Rhinolophus ferrumequinum: one gene and its partners. The protein of the gene in region 2 interacts with the protein of the main gene of each other region in a biochemical or structural test. Links are inferred from orthologs where the notes say so. Each region holds a gene or a part of one and is shown on either strand. Other genes may lie near its edges.

Evidence for each region.
Region 1: of the proteins of MAP3K7 (region 2) and USP4, one has a biochemical effect on the other in vitro, tested with the Homo sapiens proteins (2 studies listed by BioGRID). The link is inferred for Rhinolophus ferrumequinum from reciprocal best matches to the Homo sapiens genes MAP3K7 and USP4.
Region 3: of the proteins of MAP3K7 (region 2) and TAB1, one has a biochemical effect on the other in vitro, tested with the Homo sapiens proteins (4 studies listed by BioGRID and IntAct). The link is inferred for Rhinolophus ferrumequinum from reciprocal best matches to the Homo sapiens genes MAP3K7 and TAB1.
Region 4: the proteins of MAP3K7 (region 2) and NOD2 form a complex in vitro, tested with the Homo sapiens proteins (2 studies listed by BioGRID). The link is inferred for Rhinolophus ferrumequinum from reciprocal best matches to the Homo sapiens genes MAP3K7 and NOD2.

Annotation. Positions count from the first base shown.
Region 1 is NC_046300.1:7,021,842-7,028,967, reverse strand, and holds the start of USP4 (ubiquitin carboxyl-terminal hydrolase 4), read right to left. Parts: upstream 3,021-7,126; 5' UTR 2,963-3,020; coding exon 2,862-2,962; intron 1,118-2,861; coding exon 990-1,117; intron 1-989.
Region 2 is NC_046286.1:47,046,535-47,054,070, forward strand, and holds the start of MAP3K7 (mitogen-activated protein kinase kinase kinase 7), read right to left. Parts: upstream 3,022-7,536; 5' UTR 2,853-3,021; coding exon 2,733-2,852; intron 2,635-2,732; exon of another isoform or gene 2,425-2,634; intron 1-2,424. UniProt on the Homo sapiens protein: Serine/threonine kinase which acts as an essential component of the MAP kinase signal transduction pathway. Plays an important role in the cascades of cellular responses evoked by changes in the environment.
Region 3 is NC_046293.1:8,078,017-8,085,781, forward strand, and holds the start of TAB1 (TGF-beta-activated kinase 1 and MAP3K7-binding protein 1), read right to left. Parts: upstream 3,018-7,765; 5' UTR 2,962-3,017; coding exon 2,929-2,961; intron 1-2,928. UniProt on the Homo sapiens protein: Key adapter protein that plays an essential role in JNK and NF-kappa-B activation and proinflammatory cytokines production in response to stimulation with TLRs and cytokines.
Region 4 is NC_046298.1:5,222,904-5,229,728, reverse strand, and holds the start of NOD2 (nucleotide-binding oligomerization domain-containing protein 2), read right to left. Parts: upstream 3,017-6,825; 5' UTR 2,928-3,016; intron 122-2,927; 5' UTR 1-121. UniProt on the Homo sapiens protein: Pattern recognition receptor (PRR) that detects bacterial peptidoglycan fragments and other danger signals and plays an important role in gastrointestinal immunity.

The DNA of each region.
Region 1 (7,126 bases), on a different chromosome or scaffold from region 2:
GGGAGGAATGCTTACCCTTAGCTGAAGGTCATACAAAATGACTTTCGAGGGCCCCTCAAGCTCTAGGATTCTCATCACTATTACTATTAAAAGCCTTAAGATTTCTCTTTTCCAAAGAGAGGACAAAGAGCAAACGTTTTGCAATGATCCCTTGAGGCAACTTCATGGCATAATGCCACCATCTGACCTACTTCAGGAAACATAGCATATGACTGTTGATTGCGTCATTTAGACTCCCCAAAAACGAAGTCTGAGCTGAAGTACTACTCATTTTTAAAAGCACGCAGGTTAGTGTTAGGTACTTGGATCAAGCTTCATGCATTATCTGCCGTCCTGCTGCCCTGATTTTGGTCACAGAAGACAGATCACCTCTGTCCTGCTTGCAAGGGAGTCTAAAGCCAGGCAGAACAGACTAGGAAAGGCTGACTGTCATCTCTGTGCATCTACAGGTGCAAGCTAAGCTCAAGTGTGTCATGCATCACTTTTTCAATCACTTCTTCCACTGGGAGCTGATTGTGATAACTCTACTGACCCTCTATCTTTCCTCGTACTATTTCTATGACAAACACAGCCATCACAGAAATGTCTGAAGAATATCGACAGATCTACAATTTGTCCCACTGCAAAGGTAACCAAGAAAATTCTGGTTCCCAAATTTCAGATTCCAGATCAATTTCAAAATATCCTATTTCTTTCCATCCCATATACTAATCTAAAATCTCTGGCAGAATTTGCAAAAGGAGAGAGAGAGAGAAAGAAATTTAAAATGTTACAAGCATGCTCTTGTTAGAAGTTAGTTTAGGAAAAAGGCAGGTTCACTTCTCCAAGACTCTACAAAGACTTCTGCTACAGACATAAGTCAAGGACACTTGTTTCCGTCCCCTCACAGGAGGAAAGTCAAGTTCACAATGTCCATGTTACACATAATTATGACCTGAGGCCACTACCATGGTTGACATTTCGGATAGAAAAGGAACAGAATACTGCACCTGAAAAGAGTCCGGAGTTATCTATTGGGCCAGGAAACAGGTTGTGTTCACCCACATTGTACATATCCCAGCTGTCGAAGCCCACATACTTCTTCCACTGTTTGAACCACCGGCTGTCAATAAGATACCTAGAGATAGACAAAAATTTACTGTACCAGAAAAGCTGAGATAGTAAGTTTCTGCAGCTGCTCCCCTAATTTCTTTATGGTCTTTCCACTTAGGGAACAAGCAATCCCCACTAAAAAACATTCTCAAGACAGAAGCAGGGCCAGCCCCATATGGCACAAAGAGCCAATGGATACTTCTGAAAGTATCCAGTAAGTGAAACGATTATTGAAAAATGAATAAATGAAAGGAAGGAAATGACTGGCTTCAAAATATTTATTTAAAGCAAGTCTTTCTACTGTGAAAATCTTGTTTGCTAAGGACCAAGTCACTAATGTCATAATGATCTTTACAGAGGTCCTTCTCCAGGTAGACAATTTGGTTACACTGCTTTGCTTGACATGAATAACATTAAACTAATTTTCTTTCTGAAAATGGGATAATAACATCACACACTTCAGCATTCCTTTGAGGACCAAACAAAATGTCAAAAAAATGTGTGTACATATGTATATATGTGTACATACAGACATACATGTATACACACATGTACATACATACACATGTAATGTGTAAGTACAATTATATTGTCAAAAAGCAAGTTGATCTGGTTGTATTTTTTAAGTATTACTATGCTGTTTTACAATTAAGACAGAAGGAGGGGAAAACCTCCATTGGGGAAACAAAGCACAATTATATTGGTGAGTCTTTCAAATTTTATAACCAACAAACCTCAGAGATAGGCAGCTTCTCAGGGGTCACAAGGATCCATAAATCCAAATCTCTAAATGCTCTTTTCCCTCCAAACCCCTTGAACAATACCCTCTAAACACGCTAAGAGTGTGATTTTAGTCTCTCAAGTGTCCTCTGCCCCTGCGTGCCCTGCCTGTCACAGCTTGGCTCGCTCAAGAACAGTGTAAAGTCTTATATGAGTTCCTCCTAATCCCAATGTCTCTCTTCCCTGCTCATTCCTGGCACTGTAAGTGGCATTATCAACACCACCATGGTTTCTTAAAGAGGGAAGCTCAATCATTCTTTGTAATAAAGCCAAGGTCCAGTTTTCTACACCCACACAATAATACCACCCAGGAATCTCTTTACCAGTGGAAGTACTGTCCCTTTCACTAAACAATTTATTATGAAACTTCTTGTCTCAGACTTGATCTTCTAAAGCCCAGTCTTTTCATCTTTTTTTTTACCTAGGCTATGAAATGCTGCTGCCACAATTATTTTTGACATTTGCTACCAAAATAACCTGGGGCTCTCAAACATTTGTTCAGCTTCTGACCTTGACATCTGTTCTGCTGTTTACAAGTTACAAAGTGTCTACTTCTGATACGCCTCAACCCACTGAAGGGGAGTATGTAGTGTCAAATACTGCTACCACGGTTTTAAGAGTAAGGAACTGGGGTCTATGAGGTGTGGACGCCTTTGCCCAAGGTCACACATCGAATGCCCGAAGGCAAAGGGCTCTCCCCATCCTGAAGGTCCCGGTGAGCACTCCAGTCCCTATCCTGCAGCTCTTTCCCCCGCCGGGTCCGCCCACTGGGGTTCCGAAAGGGCTGAGACGACTCTCAACTCCGCCCACGCTTTCCCAGAAGTGACCTCAGGGTCCCTTTCCTAAGGGGCCGAGGTCAGGCCACTCTTCTCAGAGTCACTACATCGCCCCCGCCCGGCCCCTACCCAAGCCGAGAAAAAGGGGCCGGCCTGAGCGCCAGAGCCCCGGCCCCTGGCCCTGCGCGGCGGAAAGGTGGGCCGGGCGCTCACCACTGCGCCCCCCGTTGGAGCGTGGTCCTCATCAAAGCCCCTAGCTCCGATTTCTGGGTCTCAGCATCCGGTCGTTCACCGCAGCCTCCACCTTCCGCCATCTCGTCCGCAGCCCAGGCTCAGCCGGTCCGGACATCCGCCTCGCGCACAGCGTGTGTGGGCCACGCCCACTCACGCACGCACGTACGTGCGCGCGCCCAAAGCCCCACCTGGCGCAGCGGCCTTGAGCGCGGCCCGCCTGTGCGTTCTCTCCCGCCCCCACCCACCGCCCTCTCCCACGGGTGCGCCGTGAAGCAAAGCAGGGAGGGGGCCGGAAGAGCAGGCGGGCGCCGGGGAAGGAGCGGCCACTTCCTCCCGCTCCGAGGGGTGTCGGGCACTCCTTTCTCTGTACAGCCCCGCGGTCTCAAGGAGTCAGAATGCAGGACCCACGACCCCTCTCCTCTGATGGAGGAAGTCATTGAAAGGACGTGATGACCGGTTGACCCGCGAGCTCGACTCGGGCAATCGGAGGCTCCTCTCCCCCTTCCCCTGTCCTTGGAGTGAGCGTTCTGCTTGGCTCCAGGTGCTAGAAACTGCCCAAGGACGCAGTTTTGAGATAGTAATGTGGTGCCGAGAACTTCTGGAAGGTCTTCGTGACTGAGTAGTTAAGGCCTCTGTACAAACTTTAAGATTCTGGTGGTCAAGTAGCTCTACTTTTGCGCGCCCAAGACAAGCCCTATGTAAGTTACCCTGCTTATTAAACCTGCCACCTACCAATCTGGAGTGGCCTCCCTCTTCCGCTCTCCAAGTCTTCTGTGTTAGGGCCAGTTTCAGATTCTATCCGGAAGCTCCCTGGAGGCTTGCGGGGTTATCCTGGTCTTAAATGCACTGCTAGAGACTGGAAGCCTTGGAACTGGATTTTCTTGTGTTCACTCCTGCCATTCCACTTTCAGCAGAAGGCTTGAGCGCGTCCTTAGCTGCCCAGAAATAAGATGGGGATTACTGTCCCGGAGGATATCAGATGTGCCCGGTGCACCATCGCATATACTGGAAGGTGTGGTCTGATCATTAACAATCGTTTCAAATAGTCTGGATGCCAGAATCACCTGGCCCACGGCAGAATTCCACAAGCGCTCCACGCTGAGCTACTTGCCTTGCCAGAGGGACAAACAGCCACAGAGGGGTGATAGCAAGGTGGGAAGGGGAGAGGTCTGGGTGTGTTCTCCACCTTAGGTGCCCAGGCTTATTAATTTGTTGCTGCAACAAGTACAATATCCTGAATACTGTATCTTTTCCACTCAACCCTGTGCACAAAAACAGCCCTCTCCCTGGAGGGGACGGAAGCCCAGAACAAGGAGAAAGCCAGACAGTTGGTCTACATGACTCTCCATTCACTTGTCTCTCAGTTTCTATCCTCAGAGAAAAAAATAAGACTCAATACCTGCCTGTGTACAATCTAATAGAGAAGAAATCTACAAATACCCCTGCACCAAGCAGAGTGTGGTAAATGCCATTAACAGGTATGAACCAGACTGTAGACCCTGAGCTCTGAAAGGGAGCCTTTGACTTGAGTAGCATTTGAGTGAGGTCTTGAAGAAAGCATAGAAATGATGGTGTGTGTTACAGGAGGGGAGACTAGAGAGGTCAGAGAGAATTTCTGGAAAAAGCAGGGTAGGATCAAATAGTGAGGATTAGGCCAGTTGAGCTGGGCACAGACTACTGAAAGAGACTGAGATCTAAAGCTTTCTAGATCTACATGTCCTGCCTTGCATGGTCCACAGTTACTGTAAGAGGTTTTGGAGCAGAGACCAAATGGCTTAGGGTGCTTTACACACACACAGTGGTGCAGCCCAAAGACCTACTAGGGACCTTGCCCTGAAGAGGGGGTTATGAGAGAGGAGAGGAGACTCAGATGAGCCATGTGATGGAAGAGGGAGAGCTGGCCTGGTGAAAATGGTTGGTCATCTGAACAGATTTACTATTTCTATGTTGGGTTACGGCTAATTGAAATTAATTTATACTCCCTGGGACATCCATCACACACCATCTGGTAACACAGGCCTCTTGGTAATTGGGTAGATAGCAGGGGAAAGTAAATTTGGAATTAAAATTGCCTTCAATAATCACATAGCAATTAATCCCCTGCAGATAAGAGTTACCACTGGTGACTCTGGGTGGTGAACACACAGTGTGATTTATGGATGATGTGATACAGAATTGCACAACTGAAATCTATGTAATTCTACTAACAATTGTCACCCCAATAAATTAAAAATAAATTAAAAAAAAAAAAAAAAAGTTACCACTGGTGATAATTCAACAGCTGGGGAGCCAGGCCTGACAACCCGAGTGCCCTTTTTTGAAAGTTATTTGAAATTGTTAAAATGTTAACAAACAAGAAACACTACCTTTAGTCCTGTTATTTATGGAAAAAGAAAGTTGGGTTAGTGACATTACTTCAGAACCTACTTTAGAGAGTGTCTGCTTCCCTCTTCTTTTTTTAGCAGTTTCCCCTGTACCATTTATGGCATGGGTCACAGTCTTAAGGAAGTAGGACGAGTCCTCAGCACGACTAGAAAGAAGGACAAAACCTAATTATAAAAATGAAAACTTTGGAAAATCTTTTTAAACCTGGATTTCTTCAGTGCTATTAAATAGCAATAAAAATAGTACACTAATTATGGGTATTTCCTAAAATTTAAGACTGCAAAGTGCCAGTAGTTAAAATGTGAGGAACAAAGTGAAACATCATAGTCAGAAGATCATTATTTCCAATGTTTAAAACTTTTGTTAGTTTGATTAAAACGTTAAAAACTGAGAACAATGAGCATCTGCCATTTGTTCCACCTATTGTGGGAGTGACCTGTGGATTAAGAAGGAAGTGAGTTGGGGCTGGCCCGGTGGCTCAGGCGGTTGGAGCTCCATGCTCCTATAACTCCGAAGGCTGTCAGTTTGGCTCAGTTGGTTGGAGCGCGTCCTCTCAACCACAAGGTTGCCGGTTCGACTCCCGCAATGGATGGTGGGCTGTGCCCCCTGCAACTAGCAACAGCAACTGGACCTGGAGCTGAGCTGCGCCCTCCACAACTAAGATTGAAAGGACAACAACTTGACTTGTAAAAAAAGTCCTGAAAGTACACACTGATAAAGTCCTGTTCCCCTTCCCCAATAAAATCTTTAAAAAAAAAAAAAGGAAGTGTGATTCAGGCCAGGAGACACCCTGGCCCCAGGGCTATATTCCCCTTTAGGCCATTTGCTTGGGAGAGGTGTAGAGGTGTAGGCCTAGTAGGGCACTCATTTGGCCCCACAACCAGACCCCAGAACTAAACAACCCACCTGTTGCCATGGGAACTTGGGCCACAAGAACCAGGAGGAAAGCAGGAAGAGAGCTAGAGGGGAGAGGCTTGGCTGATTGGTCATGAACTGCTTGATGTTGGACTGTGGTGATCTACTTGAGGGTTTGTAATGTCTGGGCATGTGAACTTGAAGCTTTATTTGGTGCCAAATCATAAAGTTCTCGTGTGGGCTGGTACTGTGGCTTGCTCTATACCTAACTGGCATTGGCCCTCCAAAGTCACCCCTGGTCCACACTTAGCCAGCAATTACAGAGCACATGTGGCAGTGAGTGGGCACCTTTTGGTTAGAGGTGACACAAATATTGGGCACCTTTTGATTAGAGGTGGGCACCTTTTGATTAGAGGAGGGAAGTATTTTTGTTTCCTTCTTGCCTGTGCTTCCTTAACCTGCCCAGGGGACTGTGGAAAAGTTGAAAATCTCTAGTATATTTTAGAAGAACTAAAGGTCTGACCGGTAACATTATAACCTCTGTTATATAAGGGTTAGGTTATTGGGGAAGGTGACAGAGGCAAAAACCTGAAAGAATCTCATAGAGAGGAAGTGGGATCACCTTTCCTACCTTGGAGACTCGTGCAGTTGGATACATTCCATTCTGGTTATGCCACTGTCTATGGCCACTGTCTGACTGGGCAGGGAGGGGGGCGTGGCACCCTAGGCCCAGGTGTGGCCAGTGTCTTCTTTTTCTCCTAATTCTATTACCATCAGTGTCTTAACCATAAACAAATATTTAGATGTTAATTGTGTGTGTTTGCCCTTTGCACAGAGCAAATTCTCAGTAAACGTTTCTTGGATAAATGAATGAAAAAATTGTCCAGATGCTAGTCATTTTTTCGTTTGACCAATAATATGTTATGTGCTTACAATCTCTACCCTCCAGGGGTTCACAGGCAGTGTGGTTGGGGAAGATATTTTCACATGTAATTACATCTATA
Region 2 (7,536 bases):
AACACTTCTCACCATATCACACCACTTTTACCTCTTCTTGCAAGCTAGTTCCCAAAATGTACATACCTCAGAGAAATTACTCTAACATTCTCTACACTCAGATCCAGAATGGTAAAAACTAAATGACTTAAAACAAAAAGTATCTATGTAGATTTCCAAGGCTGAGACCTTTCATAATTTGATATCAGAACTGAATTTAGGAAATGCCACACTGATTATAGAGGCACACTATTAGGGATGTAAGCATTTAAATCAGCTGATGCCTTAAACATATGCATCAACTAAACAAATGACTGTATATTTGGTCTGTGGTTGGAGTATTTTTCTTACATAGTTTCAAAATGAATCAGTATACGGATTCAATTACAATGTTATTTCACAAATTTGGAATATGATTTTCTTTATTTATAGGCTATACTTATACAAAATATTAAAAGCAATGTAAAATACTTTCTGTTTCTGGTCTTTTTCTGTTCTCTTATTAATGATTTTAACCTAGAAGCAGAATCTAAGTTGAGAAATAGTTACTGAGTACCCATGGTGCACTCTGGATCATATACCACAATTTTAAGGTATGCAAATGAAGAAATCTGATGAAAATTATGTAATGGCTGCAACATCAGAAACATCCAAATATAATCTTTAAAGGGCAAATAAACTGGGTATTTAAAAAAAAAAACCCTAAATGATTGCCTAATATTAGAAATTTTCATTTAAAAACAAAAAACTACATCTCAGAAATGTCCTAAGTATACCAAAGAAAGGTTGAAACATTATTTAAACTGAAAGGTCTTTGGAAATATAAAAACCTAGTTAGAAGTTAAATGGCTTTGGGGGAAGAGCAGCAAAAAGTTACTGTCTCCTTTTAATAACTTTCATTCCTCCAAGAAGCGAGAATGTAAAATGCTTTAGAAAGTAGTGTGCAGAACCTAATGTTGTAGGGATCAAATGATGTAACTCAGTGAAAGCATTTGGTAGACCATGAAGTACAAGTTATTATTATATAACAATTTGTAGTCTACAAGCATGACAGTTCACCACAGAGTAGACGTAAATGCTTATTTAAAAACTGCAATTCTTTTATACTGACTCACTGAATTTTTATTCTTAAAAAAGAAAGACTCACTGAATTTTTATTCTTAAAAAAGAAAGAATGTTAGCCATGAAAGTTGGATAAACTATCCACTTCTGAAAAAGGAATTTATCTTAGCCTCAATAGAAAAAAACAAAACAAACATATCCACACACAAAAATCCCCCCCTTTTTCCAAACCACAGGTCCTTCTTTTAGCTATGTGACCTTAAAGCAGGTCACTGTTGTACTCTGGAACTGTTTCCTAGTAATATGTGTCAGGCACTGTGTTGGGTGTAATGCATATGTTGCCTAATAGCATCTGTTATACAGGTAAAATGAAATAGAAATTACCCCTATTTTACAGTTAAGGAAACTAAAGCTCCAAGGGATTAGTTAGGAAACTTGCTCCAAATCACACAACTATTAAGTGGCATAGCTAATATACTGGACCTTCCTCTAACTCCAAAAGGCCTCGTTCTTCCCATTTAAACTACCTTGTAAAATAAGGTTGTTCTCGGTGATCTCTAAGGTTTCTTTATGGAATAAAAAAATATGATTAAGTAACCTATTCTTCTTCCAAAACATTCATAGAAAAGAAACTTATTTGTTAAGTGATAATTATCTTTTAGCTTGTCACTACCTAAAAATAATTTTGGATTTTTAAAATAGAGATAACCAAAAGTCTGTAATATAGGACATACAGGGTTCTTCGTGGAATACGTAATACAAAGTACTTAATAAATTCTAAAACTGATAAGTAAATGGTAACTGATAGATACTATTTTCAACCAAAGGTTTAACACTTTGCAAAGTGTGTCTTTAAAATATATACAATTTTTGCTTTTCTGTATGTTATGGTCCTTAGAACCAATTTACTCCTCTGAATTTGAAAAGCAGCAATGTATTACAGGCACATGTTATTACCCTTAAACTACTGCAAAATAAAGTATAGATTCGGGTTTTCTAACAGCGATTTTGTGGTCTGGTGTTATATTCTAGTTGTCACCGAAATCATTAGTTATCGCCTCAGAATACGATACTTGAAACATCTTTTCATCGCACACCAGTGTATATTACTATTGTTGAAATTCATCTGACTTAGTCCAGCTGAAGGCAGAACACAACATTCCCTACTGCTCCTAGGGAATCGGCGAAACAAACCATTCGATCCTCGGGGAAACTGTTAGATATAATGATGTATTAATTTACCAAGCATTTACTGAACACCCACTACGTGCCAGGCAGAGCTAATGTCGAATATAAAGTACAATCCTTGGCCCTTAAGAACACCATGTCTTAGTGAATCGAAACTCCAAAACGGCCACGGGCTTGGATGAATTTACTACTTACAGATGAGAGAACTGGTGGACCACACTGTCTCACCAGTTCATCCTCCTGTTTGAGATGACCCAAATCCAGGCACCGGAGTGTCAAATCCAAACTCAAGAGTGCCGAAGTGAGGGAAAAATAGAGCTACCCCCGAGCAGTTGAACGCGGAGAGTCCGCTCTACACCCGGTCTCTGTGGGGATATTGGGACTCCCCGGTGAACCCCGAGGGGCTCCGTGAATCAGAGGGGCCGCGGAGGCGCCTTAAGAGTCGACAACAGGTAGAGGTGGGAGCGGCCGGGGCCGGCGCCTCCGTGCCGGGCCTCGCTCACCTCTTCCACTTCGATCTCCTTGTAGTCGATCTCTTCAAAGTTGAGGACTTGGGAGGGGGCTTCGATCATGTCACCGGCCGAAGACGATGAGGAGGAGGAAGCGGCGGAAGCTGTAGACATGATCCCTCGCGGAGCCCGGGGGGCCCGGGGAAGCTGCCGCCCGGACACTCCGGGGGAGACCCGCGCCCACCCGCCTCCTGACCGACTTTCAGCCTGGAGCCACGGCGATCCGTGGAAGGGACAGGGGCAGCGGCCACAGCGGAGTCCCCGCTCCGGCTCCGCTGCGTTTTCCGCCGCCGGGCCCCGCCCACTAAGCTTCCGGTTCCGGCCTGAAATCGGAAACAGGAGGAGGGTAGCGAGCTCGAGGGAGGGGAAGTGAGAATTTTTTTAACTGAGACTGAGAAAGGAAGGACAGTTTTGGGGGTGGGGCGGGGGAGGGTAAGAGGCTAGCTTAGATCTGTAGACCAAATTTCGCGAGATCTTTGTTAAAGGGCCTCAGCAATCGGATGATACCGCGAGAGCTGACGCTCTGACGTAAATCAAATGCGCGAACGGAAGTAGCGCGGAGCACGATGGAATGTCTGTGCGGTTGGTCCTTTAGGAACCAGCGGGAAAGATAAAAGCTATGGTTTCACCTCTACTTGGTGAAGTATGTTATGGCCCTGGTCCCTTTTCTCGCAGAGACCTGCAGACGGCCGGGGTAGTGTTGGACTGAGTTTATGTGATGAACCATTTTAATTTCACCCCTAAGCTAAGCTGAACTAGTTCTTTAAGAAGCCTTGGAAAAGGTGTTTCCCTCAGTGTGGTTTATGGAAGGAAACAGTTGCTACTGTTACTTTGAGTCAGTCTCTGACTCGGAGAGAGTCTCACGAAAATAATACAGAGCGAGCCAGCGCATATAATCTGGATAACAGTATGTAGGCTGAGTTCTCAAGAACAGAAGTTAATATTAGATAAGGTAGAAATAAATAGTTTGACATAATTTGTTATGTTCATATGAAGTTATGGGTTGCATTAATATTAATAATACATACGGAGTGATAACTTCCATAACTGAAGTTTTTTTTCTTTTTCTTTTTTTTTTTTAAGATAAAGTTTTATTGAGCCAAAGTGCTAAGCCAGAAAGAAGACGGGTCTTGGAGCATGGAGTCTAAACCACCAGAAGCATGGCTAGATAGAAAAGAGAGCATGTCCATCCTCCCAGAGTTTTGCAAGCGTTTTTATACATCAAGTAGGGGGAAGGGACAAGAAAGGTAGTCTTAAAGAATTTACATTAGCTGTAGGAAAAGGGTGGGAGGTGAGATAGGCGCAGGGTCCCCATAAAAAATGTCCGTTTCTGTAGATTGGCTGTGGGCACCAGTGGAGAAAGCCCACATGTAAACAAGTGGAGCTCCTGGAGTTGGATGGTGCCTGGTTAAAATCACCTGTAGTAATAACCACCTGGAAATTAGTATAAAGTTTCAATAGGCAGTACAAAGATTGTGAGCAGTCTTTTGTTAGCTGGCGAGCAGCCATCAACAGACTAACAGTTCTGTCTCACTCTCCCTACGCTGTAATTTAGAACATTGCAGAATTTTCTCCTTGTCAAAAACAATTATGATCCTCACAAGCTTGTAGAACTTAGGTCAGTGTATCTCCAAGGCGGAAAGTATTGCCTGTGTTGTACTATCAACACAAATTTTAGTTTTGAACTAGCTGTTTATTTAGTCAATTTGAGTTGAAGTTAACTAGGATAATTGGAGTTAGAGATGAAGGTTTCAGACCAAGGATGAAACCCTGTGAATGTCAAATTTTAAGTCTCGGTAAGAGACTGAAAAGGAACAGAAAGGGGCAAACGGGAACGGTGACCTGAATATCACTGGAGGAGAGCTTTCCAATTAAGAAAAAGGCAGCCAAATAAATGCTGTATAGACGTAAGTTAAACACATTTGGGACTGCAAATAGGGTATTGGATTTGGCAATCAAGAAGACAGGAACTCCTGTGGAAAACATTGTCATGTTTTATTTGTAGTTCCAGTAACACTCGATAGTTTGGTGAATGGATAAAAGAATGAAGGAATAATTTCTTATTCCACACTCTTTGGATAATTTTACTCCAGGCCTTGACTTCCTATACCACTTTTATGATGACTCCCAATCTCTCCCAGTGCTCAAATTTTTCTTGAATTCTGGACCTATTGGACATCTCTATTTAGATGATAAATAGAAACCTAAACACCTTTCAAACTTGCAAAAGCAAATTTAGAAGTTATCACCCACCACAGATTTGTTCTTCTGTGTGCATTTGGGATCCTTTATGAAGGATCCCATCATCTACTCAGTTGTCCAAGTGAGAAATGGCTTCAACAATAAAGGGGATTAATTGGCTTAGTTAAGTGGAAAGTCAAGAGCTAGAACAGGCTTCAGGTGTCATTTGATTTCTAAAGTTAATAATAGTATCAATAATGAGTTTCCATGATTGCTTTCTGCCTTTTGTGGTATTTGTCATTGCTCTAAAACAGTAGTTCTCAACCTTTTAAAATATCATTGCCCCCTAAGGAGTCTTTTAAGGCTATTTCTAATGCCCCCCAAAGCTTTAATACCACAGATAATACTGTATATCTGTTTATGTACTGTGTACATATTTCTGCTTTATACATAAAAAGAGTAAGATTTTTTTCTCCCCAATGTTCACCCCTTGGAGGCGATTTTACCCCCACTGAGAATGCATGCTCTAGCAGTTTAATTTTTCATATGACATCACACTTTTCAGTACAATGACAGGAAGCACCTCTTTTAGTAGCTAGTTATCTGAGAAGAGCAGGGAACTTTCTTTTTTAAAAGACTTTGGCAACTGTACCCTTGAGTGAGGAATGGAGGACAGGAGGTTTGAGGCAAATATCTTGTTTAGCTTAGATCCAGAACTCACTAAAGCAGGGGCTTGGAAGAGGAGCAGCTGCTAATTAGGAGAAAAATCTGAAGATTTAAGAGGCACAAAGCAGGGAATGGTTGCTGGATATGCAACCAACATATGTTTATTATTCAGAGGTCTGCTCTATACCTAAAAAGTGCTGTCTTTACTCCCTGTCTCAGAACCAGACTAGCCAACCTGATCAAATATTATTTCCAGGAAGTTCTGAAATAGTTTTCTGCCGTTTTCCCGTGTTTCCCCGAAAATAAGACCTAGCCGGACAATCAGCTCTACTACGTGTTTTGGAGCAAAGATTAATATAAGACCCGGTCTTATGTAACAGTATTGGCCTGCTGATAATAATTTAATTCATGGAAATGAATGAGATCACCTACAGAAGTGAAAAAGAGTAGGACTTAAAACAGATTTAAGAAATAAAAATTTTAAGGCATGGGTAGAGGAACTGCCAAAGAAATTTGTGGAAAACAAAATTATGATGAGTGGAAACCAAGATACAAAGGTTTTTCAGTGTTGAATTCTTCCAAGAAGTTAAACATGAGAAAAACTCAAAAGTGACCAATGAATTTGGGTCTTGAGGGCTAGCCAATGGGTATCTCTTTGTGGGGAGGGAGTGTGAGTGGGCTCAGATGGGTAGGTCAGGGTGTCCACATGTGGGTGTGTAAGGTTCCTTGCAGTATAGAACTGAGTCCAGAGTAGGAGGAGATGGGGGATAAGTCAGGAGCTGAAGGCAAGTTTTGATCACATCACTGCATTCTAGTGAAGTTAGTATTGTCAAGGTAGGAAGATAGAATGTATTTCTTTTATAAGTTGGTTATCTTGAGTTAGAACTTATGAATATTTAGACATAGAATATGTGAACCTCCATTTATATTTTTCCCCTGGGCCCCATAAAAGGCTAGGAGAGGCATGTTTTTTGCATGTTAGATTTCTATTCCTATGTACTAGTGGTCTACAGGTAGGGTGTTCCCAACTTTGATTTGCGATTTCCTGTAGTTGTCTCTATCTTAACACTTACGAAATGTGATTAGAAAATCAGTGAATGTTTAAAGAAACCTATTACAGTAAGAGACACATTGCCATTAATCCCCCTCAAAATACTCTCCCTCTCTTCAAACACACTTATCCCTTCGTTCTTGCCACTTTCAAAAGCAGTTCTGGAAGTCCTCTTTTGTGTCTAGTTGTGCTGTCATGGCAGCCTCAATATCCTGAATCAATTCAAAACATTTACAATTCATGGTCATTTTGACTTTGGGGAAGAACCGGAGGTTGCATGGTGCCAAATCTGGTGAATAAGGTGGATGAGGACATACTGTAATGTTTTTATTTGGCGGAAATTGACATACCTCAAGCGATGTGTGACACAGAGCCTTTCTGTTGTGATCACAAAATACAATGAATGCTGCTGCCGAGTGCCATGTGATGCAAAGGCAGGGATCTTTGATATGGGAAGCAGCACATCGAACCTTAGTAACAGTGTGTGACAAGTTTCAACTTGTTCAGTGCAGTCAGGCGGGTGTGAGCTACGGTTGAGAGAAGATGTGTTTTAAAGTGTGCCATAAATCATGACAGTGCTCCACATAACACATGCTTCTGGTATATGGCAATTTCTGTCAAATAAAAACATTATGGTGTGTCCTCATCTACCTTATTCACCAGATCTGGCACCATGGGACTTCTGACTCTTCCCCAGATTCAGGACATGGAGGCAGCCACGACAGCGCAGCTAAAGACACTCACGAAAGAGGACTTCCAGAACCGCTTCAGAAAGTGGCAAGAACAAGGTATTAAGTGTGTTCAAAACGAGGGAGAGTATTTTGAGGGGTATTAATGGCAATGTGTCTTTTACTGTAGTAATTTTTTTAATTTAAAGATTCACCATATTGTTTGGTCACA
Region 3 (7,765 bases), on a different chromosome or scaffold from region 2:
CACATCCGGACAAGCGTGAGTGCCACTCAGAAGGTTCCAGGCTTCTACTCTTGCCACGCAAGCGCTTTTCCACGAAGGGCTTTCTCCGATCACAAATCAGATCACATCAGGCCTCTACTCAAAACCAGCCGAGAGGCTCACATCGCACTCAGAACGGAATCCACATGGCGCCCTCGGACCTGGGTGACACGCACTTCTTCCCAGCAATCCACTCCAGCCACACGGGTCCCCTCCATGCTTCCTAAGGCAGGCCTTAGCATCCCTGTTCCCTCGGGCAGGAACACTCCCTCCCGAACCCCACTGCACCGCATCAAACGTTGGGGTCTTCCCCTGCCATGCGGCCTGAAATGGCTCCTCGACCACTGTGTGTGCCGACGATTCCCCACCGCACCACCTGACGTGATGTGATAATCATCACATAGCATCTGTATTTCTGCATTGTTTACTCCTGTCTCCCTTCCTAGAGTGAGGGTCGTGTCCCCTGAACCTTCCCGGCACCTGCCACACAGTGAGTGCTCAGTGCCATTTGACATTTGAGAGAATGAACCATAGGTAGCAGAACTGAAGGTGGAACTTCACAACTGGAGTGTGACCGTGCCAGGCTAGGAGCGTGGCATGTCAGTTCATTTACTACTAACAACACTTCTGGAAGTCTTCTCGGTTGGGGAAACCAAGGTTCAGGAATGTTGCGTGACTTACCCAAGGCCATACAAGCAAGATTCATACTCTGTTTTATCTGGCTGCAAAGGGCCTAGGTTCTTTTGAACACATCAAACTATCTTCAAAAGCTCTTCTTTTCTTCAAAAGATCTTTTAAAGTACCACACTGCCTGGGGACGAAAGTTGCAACTTCTCAGGATGTCATCCCACGAAGCGCGCTGCCCGCTGGCCCCAGCACTCCCTTCCAGCACCACGTCAGCGAGTCCCAGCGCTTCCTGCAAGCCTCCACTGGCCCAGTCAAAGCGAGCCATCCACAGCCCCTCTACGCACTGCCACCAGAGGCCTCACACATTGTGTTAGCGGTATGTGGCTCCTCCTCCCAAGCTCAACTGCAAATGGAGCAAGAGTGTGTACATGCCTTATTCACTTTCACATCCCCAGGTCCAGTAACCACAGACTAGCAGTCCTCAAAGCCATCTGCTGAATGAGTGTCTGCGCTGCTCTCCCCAGACTCAGAACAGCACAGGGCAGGACAGCAAGCCCCACACACTGACACCCTCTGAGCAGAAATGTCCTGAGCATCATTAGGGTGGGAGGGGCCTTGTGTAGACATCCGTCATCCCTTTGCTTTCGTCAAGATGCTACATGCTTAAAGCTAACTAACCTGTATTTCAAAGATTCCCCCACCACCCAGGAACACATTCTGGAGCTAGTAAAGCTCACCTTCTGTCTAACCCAAGTTCCTTGGGCTCCATCGCACCTACAGGGGAGGGAAGCTGGCAGCCAGTCTCCAAGCCAAGCTAGCCGACAGCAGTTATCACTTTTATCATTTGCCACACATTGCAGCCAGTGTTTCTGGAATGTTTACAATGGGGACATTTACACAGGGGCCCTGACGTCTGGGAGCTTACAAAGCAAGAGGCCAGGTCTACCTAACCAACCCAATGACAAGGCCGACCTATCAAGTAGTTAAATAAAGGGGGGCAGCCAAAGGTGTAGGAAGAGAGCTACTCCCTCCCTCCCACTGGGAGTTGCTGTCCTGGAAGAGCAATTTCAGAGTCTACACAAAGCCTGTCATTCATACGCAGCAGTGAAGGTCATCCCACACACACACATTCTGTTGCTTCAAGACCCTCAAGGGCAGGACGGCCACTGTTGAGCACTAGACCTGGCTACAAATGCTTTCCTCATTATTTTACAAATATTTACTGAATGCCTGGCACCTAGTGGTGGTAGGTGCTGATGGCACTATTCATTGTACAGGTAGATCACAAGTCCCTGTCTTAAAGGACTTCACCTTCCAGTACAGGAGGCAGACATGTCCACAGGCAATTACAACAGACTGTGTCTGTTGTGTGCCTGCTGTGTCTGGGGAGGACCCATGGGACCGGCACCCAATCCTGGCAGGTCAGAATAGGCCCACGGTGCCAACGTGTGTGCATCTATGTACATGTGTCAGGAGGACCCAGGGGCTGGAAGACATCAGCTACCAGCCCATGAGAGTCCAGACTGGGAGTCGGGGTGGGTCTCATGACAATCCTCCCACTGCCTGCGCTCACCTTACAGATAAGGAAATGGAGGCAGAGGCGGATGGAGGCATAGTGAGATACAGCCAGGACCAGAAGCCAGGCTGCCTGACTGCGGTCATTCCTTTGGTATAGGTTACAGGTTAAGAGGGTTTCTGGAATGACTGCCTGATTTTCATTCTGCCTCTGCCACTTACCAGCTCTGTGGCCTTGGGCAAATGACACCGCTCTGTGCCTCAGTTTCCTCATCTGTAAAACAGGAATCACAGTACCTATCTCATAACGCTGTTAGGAAAATGAAACTTACAATGTAAAGCCACTGGCACAAAGCCTGGGATAAAAGTGGCTGAGGCCGCTACGATTATCATCCCACGACTGCCTGCTCAGTGCCGGGTGGGCTCACCACCCTTGCTCCCTCCGCTGCCGCGAGGCCATACTCCCTTCTGGCTCCAAAATGCTTCCACCCTCGACGCGCCCTGGACGCTACAGGGGACTCCAGGACCGGAATCCGAGCCCCCGACGGCCGGGCACACCGCGCTCCTGCGCAGGGCTCGCGGGGCCGCGCGCGCCCAGACCTAGGGAACGAGGGGGGCCGGCCCTGGAGAGGGGAGGGCGGCGGTCACATCCCGCCAGGGACAGGTAGGCGGCCCACGGCAAAGTGGCAGCGGCGCCTGCACCCGACAGGCCTCCCCGCTCCCTCCCGGTTCCCAAACCCCAGCCCGGAGAGCGGGTCTCTTCCTCACACTCTGTAGCAGGCTCCTCCTCTGCGCCGCCATCTTGAAGGGACCCGGCGGGCGCGCCCGCCTCCCGGCAGAGCAGACGAGAAGGGCGGCTAGAGCGGCCTGATGCCGGCCCGGAGGCCGGCGCTACCGGGGAGCAGGCGCCCAGCGCCACCCCATGGCCGAGTGGGATGGGGCCGCACCGGGGCGTGGACGCGGTCGCGCTCTTCCACCTTTTTCTCTAGTGGGAGATAAAGGGAAGGCTTCCGTAGGTTTGCCCCTCGCCCATTTTTATTTGCACACTTTCCCCAGGATGCCTTTCAGGTGAGGCTCCCAAACCCGGGGTTAGGTTCTGCAGGAACACGATGGGGAAGGCGGAAGGTGGGTTATTCGTTCACGCAACACATATTCATTGGGTGACCGTGCCTGGGCCTTTAGGGGTGAAGCAGCAAGCAAAACAGGCCTTCAAAAAGCTAACGTTTTAATTGGGGAGGACGTTTATATACATACGTCTTTCACGTGGTGATACTGGGTTTTCTGGAAAATAAGACCTACCCTGAAAATAAGCCCCAGTTAGGATCAGCCAGACGGCCGCATTTTGGTACGTTATGATGATGTTCCAGAAGAAAATGACATGACTGTACTTGAATAAATGTAGATTGTGGTACGTGAAAAAATAAGACATCCCCTGAAAATACGCCCTAATGCGTCTTTTGGAGCAAAAATTAATCTGAGACCCGGTCTTATTTTCGGGGAAACACGGTAAATGCTAGGAAGAGAAGTTTATGGATGAAGCATGGTAGTGCAGTGTTAACTGGTAACAGGGAAGGGAAGGGCCAGCGAGTGCAGGAAGCCTGAGGGAAGGGAGCATGTGGGTTCAAGAAGCACGCGTGTTACAGAAGGCTGATGTGGTTGGAAAAAAGATGGAGGGGGAGTGAGATGAAGGGCGCGTAGGGCAGACTCTGACCTTGTGAGCCCCAGGCAGGAGTTGGGCTATTCACCTGGAGGACAAAGGGAAGCTGTGCACATCCCAGCAAGTCACTGACACGATCTCAGGTAGAAAGATCCCTGTGACTACTGTGTACAAAACAGATTTTTAAGGGGATTGGAGTGGAGACAGGAAGACCGATTAGGGGACTGTTGTACTAGTTCTAGGTGAGAGATGATAGTGGTTTGATTTGGCTGATGGCAGTGAGTGGACTTTATTTAGGAGATGAAATCTGCGATGCTGGAGCAAGGATTGGTTGTGGGTGGTGATGTGTCAACGATTCTTCCAGATTTCTGGCAAGAACGGCTAGGTTTGGGAGAGGGAGAAGGTAATGACCAGGAGTTCAGTCTGGCCGTGTTGAGTTTGAGGGCTTTTGAAACATTCAAGAAAAGAAATCAAGTCAGTCTTTAGATGGAGAAGGCTGGAGCTCAGAGCAGAGGCTAAACTGGCAAAGATGACAGAATGAGCAGCTGGAAAGGCAAGGGGAGCAGAGGCAGCACAACCCAAGGTGAGGAGTGTCTAAGGAGGGCTGGGGCAACAATGTGAGATGCTTTTGAGAGGTCTAGTTAGAAGGTAACTCTCTGGAGAAAGTCTATTAGATGTAGCCATCTTTAATTGCGCAGGCAGTTCAGGTAGAATGGTAGGACCAAACTCCATTTGCAGTGAATTGAAGAATAGCTGGGAAATGGAGACCTTGAGAATAGGCGGACTTCCCAATTGGTGGACTGGGAAGAGGAAGAGAAGGGAACGTGGGGTTGAGAGAGGGTTTTTCCTGTTAGGCTGGGGAAACTTGAGCCTGTTTAAATGCCAAAGGAAAGGTTTAATAGAGAAGAGCTGATGATTTAGAAGGGGGAAGTGGGTGTCAGTCTAGGATGGTGACTCACCATCTTGCTCTCCTCTCAACACAGCTCCACATGACTCAAGATGACTGCTTGAGCTCCAGCCATTTGTCTGAGTTCAGCCAGCTGGAAGGCAAGAGGAAGATAGGAAGATGATACCTCTTTCTTTCTTTCTTTCTTCTTTCTTTCTTTCTTTCTTGTTTCTTTCTTTGTTTCTTTCTTTCTTTCTTCTTTCTTTCTTTCTTTTCTTTCTTTCTTTCTTCTTTCTTTGTTTCTTTCTTTCTTTGTTTCTTTCTTTCTTTGTTTCTTTCTTTCTTTGTTTCTTTGTTCTTTCTTTCTTTCTTTGTTCTTTCTTTCTTTCTTTCTTTATTTGTTTCTTTCTTTCTTTCTTTGTTTCTTTCTTTCTTTCTTTGTTCTTTCTTCTTCTTTCTTTCTTTCTTTCTTCTTTCTTTCTTTCTTTCTTTCTTTCTTCTTCTTTCTTTCTTTCTTTCTTTCTTTCTTTCTTTCTTTTTACATTATTAATAACAAAATTTACTCGCAGGCAATCTCCCTTCCCTTTTAAGGGACCTCAGAGGTTCCGCATGATGCTTCCCCTACATCTCTTTGGCTGTCACTTAACTCATGCCACATGGAGCTAAAAGAGAGGTGAGGAAATGTAAGCTTTGGACTGAGCTACAATGTGCCCAAGTACAGTTCCTGTACTAAAGAAGGATTGGATAACGGACACCAGGAGGCTATGAGCAGTCTTCTCTGCCAGGAAGGGGTTTGGGAGGGGCCAGGTGGTTTTTCCTGTTGAAGAAGAGTCTGGAAAGAATCAGGATTTGGAGCCCAACCCACTCCATTCTAATCGCTGCCCCATATCCTGTCACCTGTGTGACCCTGAATAAGTCACCTCCCCTGTCTGAGCCTCAGGACCCTTCTTATAATGGGAGTAAGGCTACCTGGCCGAATGACTGCGAGGATTAGATGAGGTGCCATGGAAAGACCTGGCTTGTGGTAGGCCCTGATTACAATTTAATGTTTTTAAAGATAATAAACACACATTGAGCACCTACTGTATGCCAAAGCACTTGCTGGATGCTTTCTCATCATACACTTATTCATTCTCACACCTGCCTTGTGAGATAAAGATTGTAGTCATCTTTAGTTTATAATGTAGGAAACTCCAGTTCAGCAAGTTACCCAATAAATAAATGTCGGGATTTGAACCTAGGTCTTCTGACTCTGTGATGTGATGTAATAAGAAATACATATTTTGGACTGGGTCCCACAGTCCTGGCACAGAGCTTCTTTTTTTTTCTTTCCCCTTTCTTCTGCCTCCCCCCACCCCCCCCCAATTCCAGTTCAAGCCGTTGTTTCTTAGTCTAGTTGTGTAGGACACAGCTCCCTGGCTCATGCTGGTATTATGAGCCTTGTGCTCCCCGGCTGAGGCAGTCGGTTTGCTGGTCATCGGTCGGCCGCTCACAGCAGCTCTCGCCGGCTGCCGGCCACTCACGCTGGCTGGCGGCAGCACACAGCAGCACTCAGCAGCTCCTGACAACCTCCGGCTGCTCACAGCAGCCCAGCTCCAGGAAGACGCGTTGTTCAACCAATCTTAGCTATAGAGGGCGCAGCTCACTGGCCCATGTGGGAATCAAACCGGCAACCTCAGCATTAGGAGACAGCGCTCCAACCACCTGAGCCACCAGGCTGGTCCCCACAGAGCTTCTAAAAGGGTTTTGAAATTTCCCTGAGTGATAGAGATGGTAGGAGCATCATTTGTTACTGATAACAAGCACTTTCAACTATCTTGCAGGTTTATGTAATGAGATGACAGGTGGCTGGAAGCCCCTGGATGACTTTAGGCTGGAGCTGGTTGCCAGAGCAACCACCCACGTGATTAGAGGTTTGGAGCTTTGAGCCCTGCCACTCCCATCTCAGGAGGGGAGAGGAGCTAAGAATTGAGTAAGCACTAGCGGCCAGTGATTTAAGCAACCGTCCTATGTAATGGAACCTCCATAAAAATCCTAAAGGAAGGAGTTTGGAGAACTTCTGCGTTGGTGAACCCACATCTGCGTGCTGGGAGTGTGGCACAACCCAACTCCAGGGGGACCAGAAACTCCTGCACGCTGTGGACCTTTCCAGATCTTACCCTATCACCTCTTCACTTGTATCCTTTGTTAATAACTCGGCAACAGCAAGTCACGTGTTTCCCTGAGTTCTTGAGCTGTCATAGCATTTTATGGAATTTGAGGAGGGGGTCATGGGAACCTCCGATTTGTAGCCAAATTGGACATTAGTGTAGATAACCTGAGGACCCACTACTTGGGACTCATGTCTGAGGAGGGGGCAGTCTGTGGGAATCCACCCTTAACCTGTGGGGTCTGTACTAACTCTGGGTAGTTAGTGTTAGACTGACTTAGATTACAGGACACCCAGTTGGTGTCTGCAGAGAGCTGGAGAATTGCTTACTGTGGGAAACCCACACATCTGACGTCAGAAGTGTTCTGCTGTTGTAGGTAAAAACCCCTCGGTCGAAGACTCCAGGGCCTTTCCCTGCAACCCTGTGAGAGAAGCAGACCCTCCAAGGCCCTTCACAGCTCAGCCTCACTGTAATTGCTGGAAGTTTTCCACACAACCACACTGTTTCCGGCCTCCATCTTTGTACCTGTTGTTCCCACATTTGACTACCTGGTGGACTTTTATTCAATTGTCCAGGCTCTTAGCAAATGAAAGCCCCTCCTCAGAAATTTCTCTTGATTCCCACCCTAAGGATACTCCCTCGGTCATTTTCGATCATGGAAAACTCTAGTTATTGGTTGCAGTGACCTTCCAGAGGGCAAGAACTCTGGCCGTTCAGCTCTGGGTCTCCTCACAGGCTCCAGGAAAGCTGCTCAGCAAATGTGTGTTCGCAAATTGGTTGAAGAGTCCGGGGGACAGGCAGTCCCAAGGTCTCCAAGTGTCTTAGAGGAGAACTGGGACTATAACTTGGGGCTTCCAGGCCCCCCAACCCTCTTCCATACCTCAGCCCCTAAACAGTACACTATGGCAAGTC
Region 4 (6,825 bases), on a different chromosome or scaffold from region 2:
AATGAGCTCATCCACCAGGATGAGCTTTGAGTAAGCAGGGCCCTTCCCGAACACACTGCACTGAATCTGGGGCAGCTGACGGATGCTCAGGCTTCAGTTGAAATCTCAGCCTGCTGGGCCCCTGCAGACAGAAGAGGGAGGGAGGCCCTGGGATCCCCAGCTTCTGAACTGCACTGGCTCTCGGCTGGGCCCAAGCTTCCCCTGGGGCACTGGATCCAACCCCCACCCCCCCCCAGCCCTGCAGCCATCCTCTATTCTGGCCCCCTTCACCAAGCTTCTCTCTAAAAGAGTTTCCCACCAGCACGCAAACAGACTGTAACTTCACCCCAAAAGTAAAGCCCTCCCTCCACACCCACTTCCCTCTGGCTCCAATCCCATTTCTCTGCCCCTTCACCGCAGGACTCCTTGTCTGTTGTCTGTACTGCTGTCCCCAACGCCTCTCCTCCCCGCCCTGCCAATCCTGTCTTCCCTAATCCCCAATTGCTTTTGTCACAGTTACCAGTGACCTCTGCATGGCTTGACTGTCAGCCCTCAGCTTGCTTGCTCTGTCAAAGGCATCTGTCCTCATTGCCCCCCTCCTCCTTGAAGCACCTTCCTCATTGCCTCCAGGACACCCCAACTCTCCAACTTTTCCTCCCATCTCCCTGGCTGCTCTTTCTGACTCCTTGGTTGGTTCCTAATGCTGGGAGCCCCGGAGCTCCCTGGTTGGACTTCTTTTCTCCATATCACTCTCTCCCTAAGTGGACTCACCAGCTCTTATAGCTTTAAATGCCAGGTATGTGGTGATATCATCCAAAATTTTATTTCCAGCTCCAACCTCTCTACTAAACTTTTCCCAACTGCGTCCTGGCCGTCTTCGCATGGGTGCTAACGGGCATCTCCTGCTTAACAAGCACCAAACCAAATCTTCCCGTAAACAGCTCCCATCTCAGTCGATGGCAGCTCCAAACTTCCAGGTGCTCAGGCCAGACTCCACCCCACCACCCGCGTCACCCTTGACGCCCCCTTTCTCTTGCATCCCTAATCCTCTCCACCCTACGGTCTTCAAAATATATCCCAAATCTGAAAATCTGACATTTCACCACCTCTACGCCCTGGGTATAAGCTCTCACGGCCTCTCCCCAGAATGACAGCTGTGGTCCCCTCACGGGTCCCCCTTCTGCTCTCACCCCCTATAGCCTATTGTCCCGCCCACAACCAGGTGAACCTGCTAACCCCTAAGTCAGAGCAGGTGACAGCTCTGCTCAAAGCCCTCCGGTGGCTCTCTCGGTGGTTCTCTCGGCACTCAGAGTGAAAACCAAGCTCTCCCAGCGGCCTCCTCGGCCCAGGCAACGGACCCCGCCCCCCAGCCCTTACCTCTCTGTACTTCTTTCCCACTCGTCCCACACTGGTTCTTCACCCACCCTGCTCCAGCCACACTGTCCCCCTCCTTGTTCCTAGAACAAGACATACCTGCTCCTGCCTGTCATGCTTCTGCCTGAGGACCTTCTGCTTGTCCCTATGTGGGTACACTGTCCTTCCCCCCAGATATTCCCGAAACTCCACCCCCAAACTCCTTCAAGGCCTTGCTTAGTTGTCGCCGTCTCAGAGAGGACATGCCTGCCTATGCTCATCCTCCTCACCTGCTTTATTTCTCACCACCTGACGTATCATGTATTCACTTATTTGACTGCTGTCTGACTCCTCTCTAGAATAGGAACTCCATGAAGGCAGGGAGTTTTGCCGGACTTTTTTTATTGCTCTATCCCCAGTGTCTCACCCAGTGCATTGATAAAGAGTGTTTGAATGAATAAAAGAATGAATTTACTTTGCATGGTTCCAGGAGGCAGAAGTGGAACGAAAGGATGGAATCTGCAAGCCACAGATGTTAGCTAGATGAAATGAGAGCTGCAGGCCACAGAACAGCACCTCGTAAGTAACAAGTTCAGCATCACTGAGCATACACAGCAGAGGGGTCCTGCACTGGGTGGGAGGTAGTGGGTGAGATGGGGTCCTTTCCAGCCTCAGATTGGCAAAGGGGACTTGAGTGACCGACAAACTTAGAGGCAGGAGAGCAGAGGTGATGGAAATGTCACTCTGGTCTTCACCAAGGGATCAGGGGACGGGTGACATGGCAGGTTATTCCCCTCTGTGGAATAAGGACCCTGTGGCCAGGGAATAACCCATGAGGAGACCAAGGCCATGGCAGGGAGAAGCCCAAGGGCTCAGGAAGTGGGTGAGAAACCAGAGCCAACACAGAGTCAGGGATCCGGCTGTGGGAGGCCCTCTCTGAGGGGACTGGGGCAGGGGGGGGGGGGCGGTTTAGTGCTGGGAAGCAAGTAGGACCAGTTGGCTGGCCCCCAACATGAGGAGCAAAGGAGAGGGCCAATGGCACAGAGGGTATGGGCCTGTCTGGTAGGGATGGGGCTGAGCCATCCAAGAGTCACAGGCTGCAGGAAGGGTGAGAGGTCATCCAGACACTTACTCACTTGCACCCACCTATTCACAGGCATGGTAAGATTGGGAAACTGAGGCCCGGAGAGAGGAAGGGACTCACGGAGAGCAGGCCCCTCTGAGACCTGAAGCCTGGCCTCCTCATTCCCAGGTCAGCCCTGTGCCTCGGGGATTCTCATCCTGCTGACTCTCCCTCCACACTCCCCACCACCTGAAAATCACTGCCTCTCTCCAGACCTCAAAGGCTCCTGGGGCCCAGAAACGCCCCCAAGCCTTCTCATCTTCTGTAGTCACCGCCCTCCAGGGGGCTCCCTAACTTCGAGATGCCCTCTTTCTGTCTACCTCCCGTCTAGATCCCTGAAACCCCGCCAAGGGAAAACCGAGGCAGCCTCTCCCTCTGCCCACCGGCCAGGACAGCTCCGAAGCCAGGAGTCCCGGGGGTGGGACCCTCCTCGGCGCCTGCTGTCTCACGAGCTGGGCCCTGGAGCACTCACCTCGGAGCCGCAGGCGCCCGGATTTCTCCGCACCCTCGTCGGAGGCAAAACTCACGGCTAAGTCCTGGCCTGGGAGGCTCCTACGCTGGGATCCGTCCCCGCCTGATCCCGCCCCCGCTCTCGGCCCCGCCCACCTGCCCAGCCAGCCAAGTCCCTCCTGTCCTGCGAGCCCTCCCGCAGCACCCGGGCGGCTAGGAGCTCTCCTCAGATGGGAGCGAGAGCTGGCAGGGAAGTGGCGGGGCTGCCTGTAGGACTGCAAGGCCCTGGCTGTGTGACCCAGGCCAAGTGTATCCCCCTTTCTGGACCACCTTTCAACTGGAGGGAACGTTGAGAGTCTCTCAGGACAAGTCTCCCTCCCAACTCTCAACTCTCCCTCCTTCTCTCTCTCTCTCTCTCTCTCTCCCTCTCTCTCTCTCCCTCTCTCTCTCTCTCTCTCTCTCTCTCTCTCTCTCTCTCACACACACACATACACACACACACACCCATACACATAAGGCATCCTGTGAAATGAAAAGCTAGCAAAGCTCTCGGTGCCTGAATAACCCACACACCCTTTGATGGGTCAGTAAGCCCAAAGTCATCTAAAGCCTGATTATTATGATGTCCCAGAGCCCTGCTTTTCCGCAATGTTATGGGTTACATGTCAGCTGAGAGCAGACCGGGCATTTAAAGTAATTCTTTTTTTTCTTTTTCTTTTGATCGTTCTGTTTAAGTTGAGGAGAGCCGCGTCAGTTTCATACAAACAGGGCTCCCACGCCTCTCTAACACTGCCTGCCTAGTCTACAGGGCTCTGAGTAACATCCAACCAGAATTTAACAGCACTGTTTTGTTTCCATTCGGTTAAATTTATTGTATGATTTCTGAGCAAGTGACACCTTCCATTGAAGGTATTAATATCAATGTGCCTTTTAAAACACTTGCACTTGGTAGTTTTTAAATGTGAAGTCAATTTAAAGAACGGACATTCACATAGTGCTTACTATGGACCAGGCTTTACATACATTAACTCAGTGAATCCAATCTCCGGGATATTGACTGTCATCGTCCCCAATGTATAGATAAAGAAACCGAGGCACAGAAAAGTTAATCGGTCCGAGTAGTGACCCCAGTGCCACGATCTGCCCCCCGGCATCTGGCAATACTCTAACCACCATCCCACACTGCCTCCAGCTAATTACCTACACAAGTAGTACGCAGTGGGCTGGGGTTGGGAAATGCTGTGTTAGAAGGACTGCAACTAGCCCAGGGAAATCATTCCACGTGGGGTACAGATCTGTCCACAGGCATGCTCACCACCTCTTCTTTATAACAGTGAAAAGCTGGAAACCTTCTCAATGCACAATCACGGGTTACTTAAGAAAACTGCCAGGGCCACTGGAAAACGTAGCCCACTCATCTTCTCTCTCATACCTCACATCCAACCTGGGAGTAAGTTTTCCAGCTTGATCTTCAAAATACACGTGGAACGCAGCCACTTCTTACTAGATGCACCATGACTACCTGGGTCCCGTTCTCCATCATCTCTCACCTGGGTTCTGGCAAGAGCTCCTAGCCGTCCTCCAGGATTCCAGCAGCAGCCATAGTGAGTCTGCGTAAAAAAGGGTCAAATTATGGGTCACTCCTCTGCTGAAACCCCTGCGATGACTCCCACCTCAGAGCCAAAGCCAAGGAAAATCCTTTCGATTGCTATTTCCACGCAGCACCCTCTCGGGGCCCGTCCTCACTCGCTCCGTTGTGCACTGTCTGCTCGAGCCCACTGGCCTCCTGGCTGCTCCTGGAGTAGGGCAGACCTGCCACCACCTCTGGGCCTTTGCATCTGCTGTTCCCTCTGCCTGGAATGCTCTTCCTCTAGACACCTCCATGGCTCCCTCCTTCCCTCCTTTCAGGTCTTTGCTGAAATGTGACTTTCTCAAGGAGGCCTTCCCTGACCATTCCCTGTCTAATTGCAACCCCCTCCCCTGCACCCCTCTCCCTGCTTAATTATTTTTCTCCGTAACACTTATCTGCACACAACATACTAGATATTTACTTATTTATTGTCTTTGGTGTCAGTCTCTCACCCAAAAGAACATGATATCTTTTCAAGTTAGTGTTTTCGTTTTCTTTAGATAAATACCTAGAAGTGGAATTGCTGGACCATATGGTAGAAGAACCTTTGAGACTTTTAAAAGGCTTGTGTGTGGACTCTCAATGGTAGAAAAGTAAGATGGACTTGGCTGGATTTTGTGTCTCCTACAAACACCTCACCGGTTTGGGTTTTCTTTGCACCGTTGTGGAGGCACACCTGTGAGTGATTAATTCTTGTCAAACTGACCAAAAATAGCGTGTTGGTTTTGGAGTCCTAAGCCCGTCCGAGGCCCGGAGCAGTAGTCAGTGGTAGTTCATGGGGTTTGGTTACTTGCCCAATGGCGTGAGGGGGATCCTTAGTTTTATCTCATGTTACAGTTAGGGAAATTGAAATTCAGAGAGGGGTGGTGGCCTGTCTAGGACACACAGTGCGTCAGGGCTGAGCTGGAGCCACAGCCCCCATCACCACTCTCTGCATGCCCCACTCACTCACTCATTCATTCGTTCATTCACACAGCAATGAATGAGCACCCACCATACGGCTGCAGTAGGTGCTGGGGGCAGAGTGCTGACACAGACAAAGTCTCTGCCGTCACGGTTTTGAGAACTGCAATAAACAAGTAAACAAACACAACAAGGATAGGACTTGACAGAGCGGGTCGGGGAAGGCCATTCAAGAGTCAGACAACCAAACTGCACCCTGGGGATGAGAAAAGTCAGCCGTGGAAGGAACCATGGGAAGGGCATTGCTGGCTGAAGGAACTGCGAGGGCAAAGCCTGTGAGGCACGTCTAAGGACAGAAAGCAGCCTGGATGGCTGCTGTGCGTAAGTGATGCCGGAAGGGGTGCCAAACAAGGTAGGAGGGGAGCCAGCAGCAGACCAGGGAGCCTCAGGTGGGGCTCTGACTTTGCTCCAAATGCAGTGAGATGCCACCGCAGGGTCCAGGCCATTTGAATTCCAGAAGAGACACCGACACTCCGAGATGCCAGCATTTCCTTTCCTGTCTCGCCAGGACGCCTTGGTGGCCCCTCTTCACCATCTACAGTGGTTCCAGCACTACAGTGGGGGGCTGCCCACTCCTATGTCCCCCCACAATGACAGTGAGGCCTTGCCTGTCCTACTAGAGCTCTGTGCTAAAGAGAAAAGCCAGCAGTGGGCAGGTGCGTAAACATGGCCTCTTCCCGTCACTCTGCTCCAGCTGGGTTCTTCCTTCTCAGGCCAGACACCCGTGTGTGTCCGGGGCTTTCCAAAGAGCGTCCCTTGCCCCAGAACAGGAAGCAGCGGCTTCCACACGCTCTCCCCGATGGTGGCTGGTGGCTGGGTCAGAAGTTCTGAGGGCTGCCAAAAAGGGCTCTGTGTCTGCCCCTGGCATCTGGAAGGTTCCAGGCCCAGGCAGAGAGTGAGGGAGAAAATTGGAAAGCTGCAGGGCGAGCCCCAAAGAAAGGAGGGGAGACAGCGTTCCAGCCTCGCTCCACACAGAGCCCATGTCCCCTCACTACACCAGGCCACCTGCAGGGCAGCACAGCCACAGAAGAATGAGACAAGGCCCTTGGACTCAAGGGGCTCACCGGCTAGCAGGCCAGCAGCACGCTTCAGGGCCCCCCACCCCCTTGAGCTAAACAGACCCTGACGTGTGTGGATGTTCTGTCTGTAACAGTGATGGCACACTGCACAGCAGCGGACGGCCATTCCAATAAAGAAGACCAGGAGGTAAACATGGGGGGGATAAAGCTTTGCACCCCTACCTCACACCATGTACAATGACCTACTTGCAGTGCATGACAGCCCCAGATGAGACAAGCAAACTGAAAGGCTTTTAATTAATCAGAAT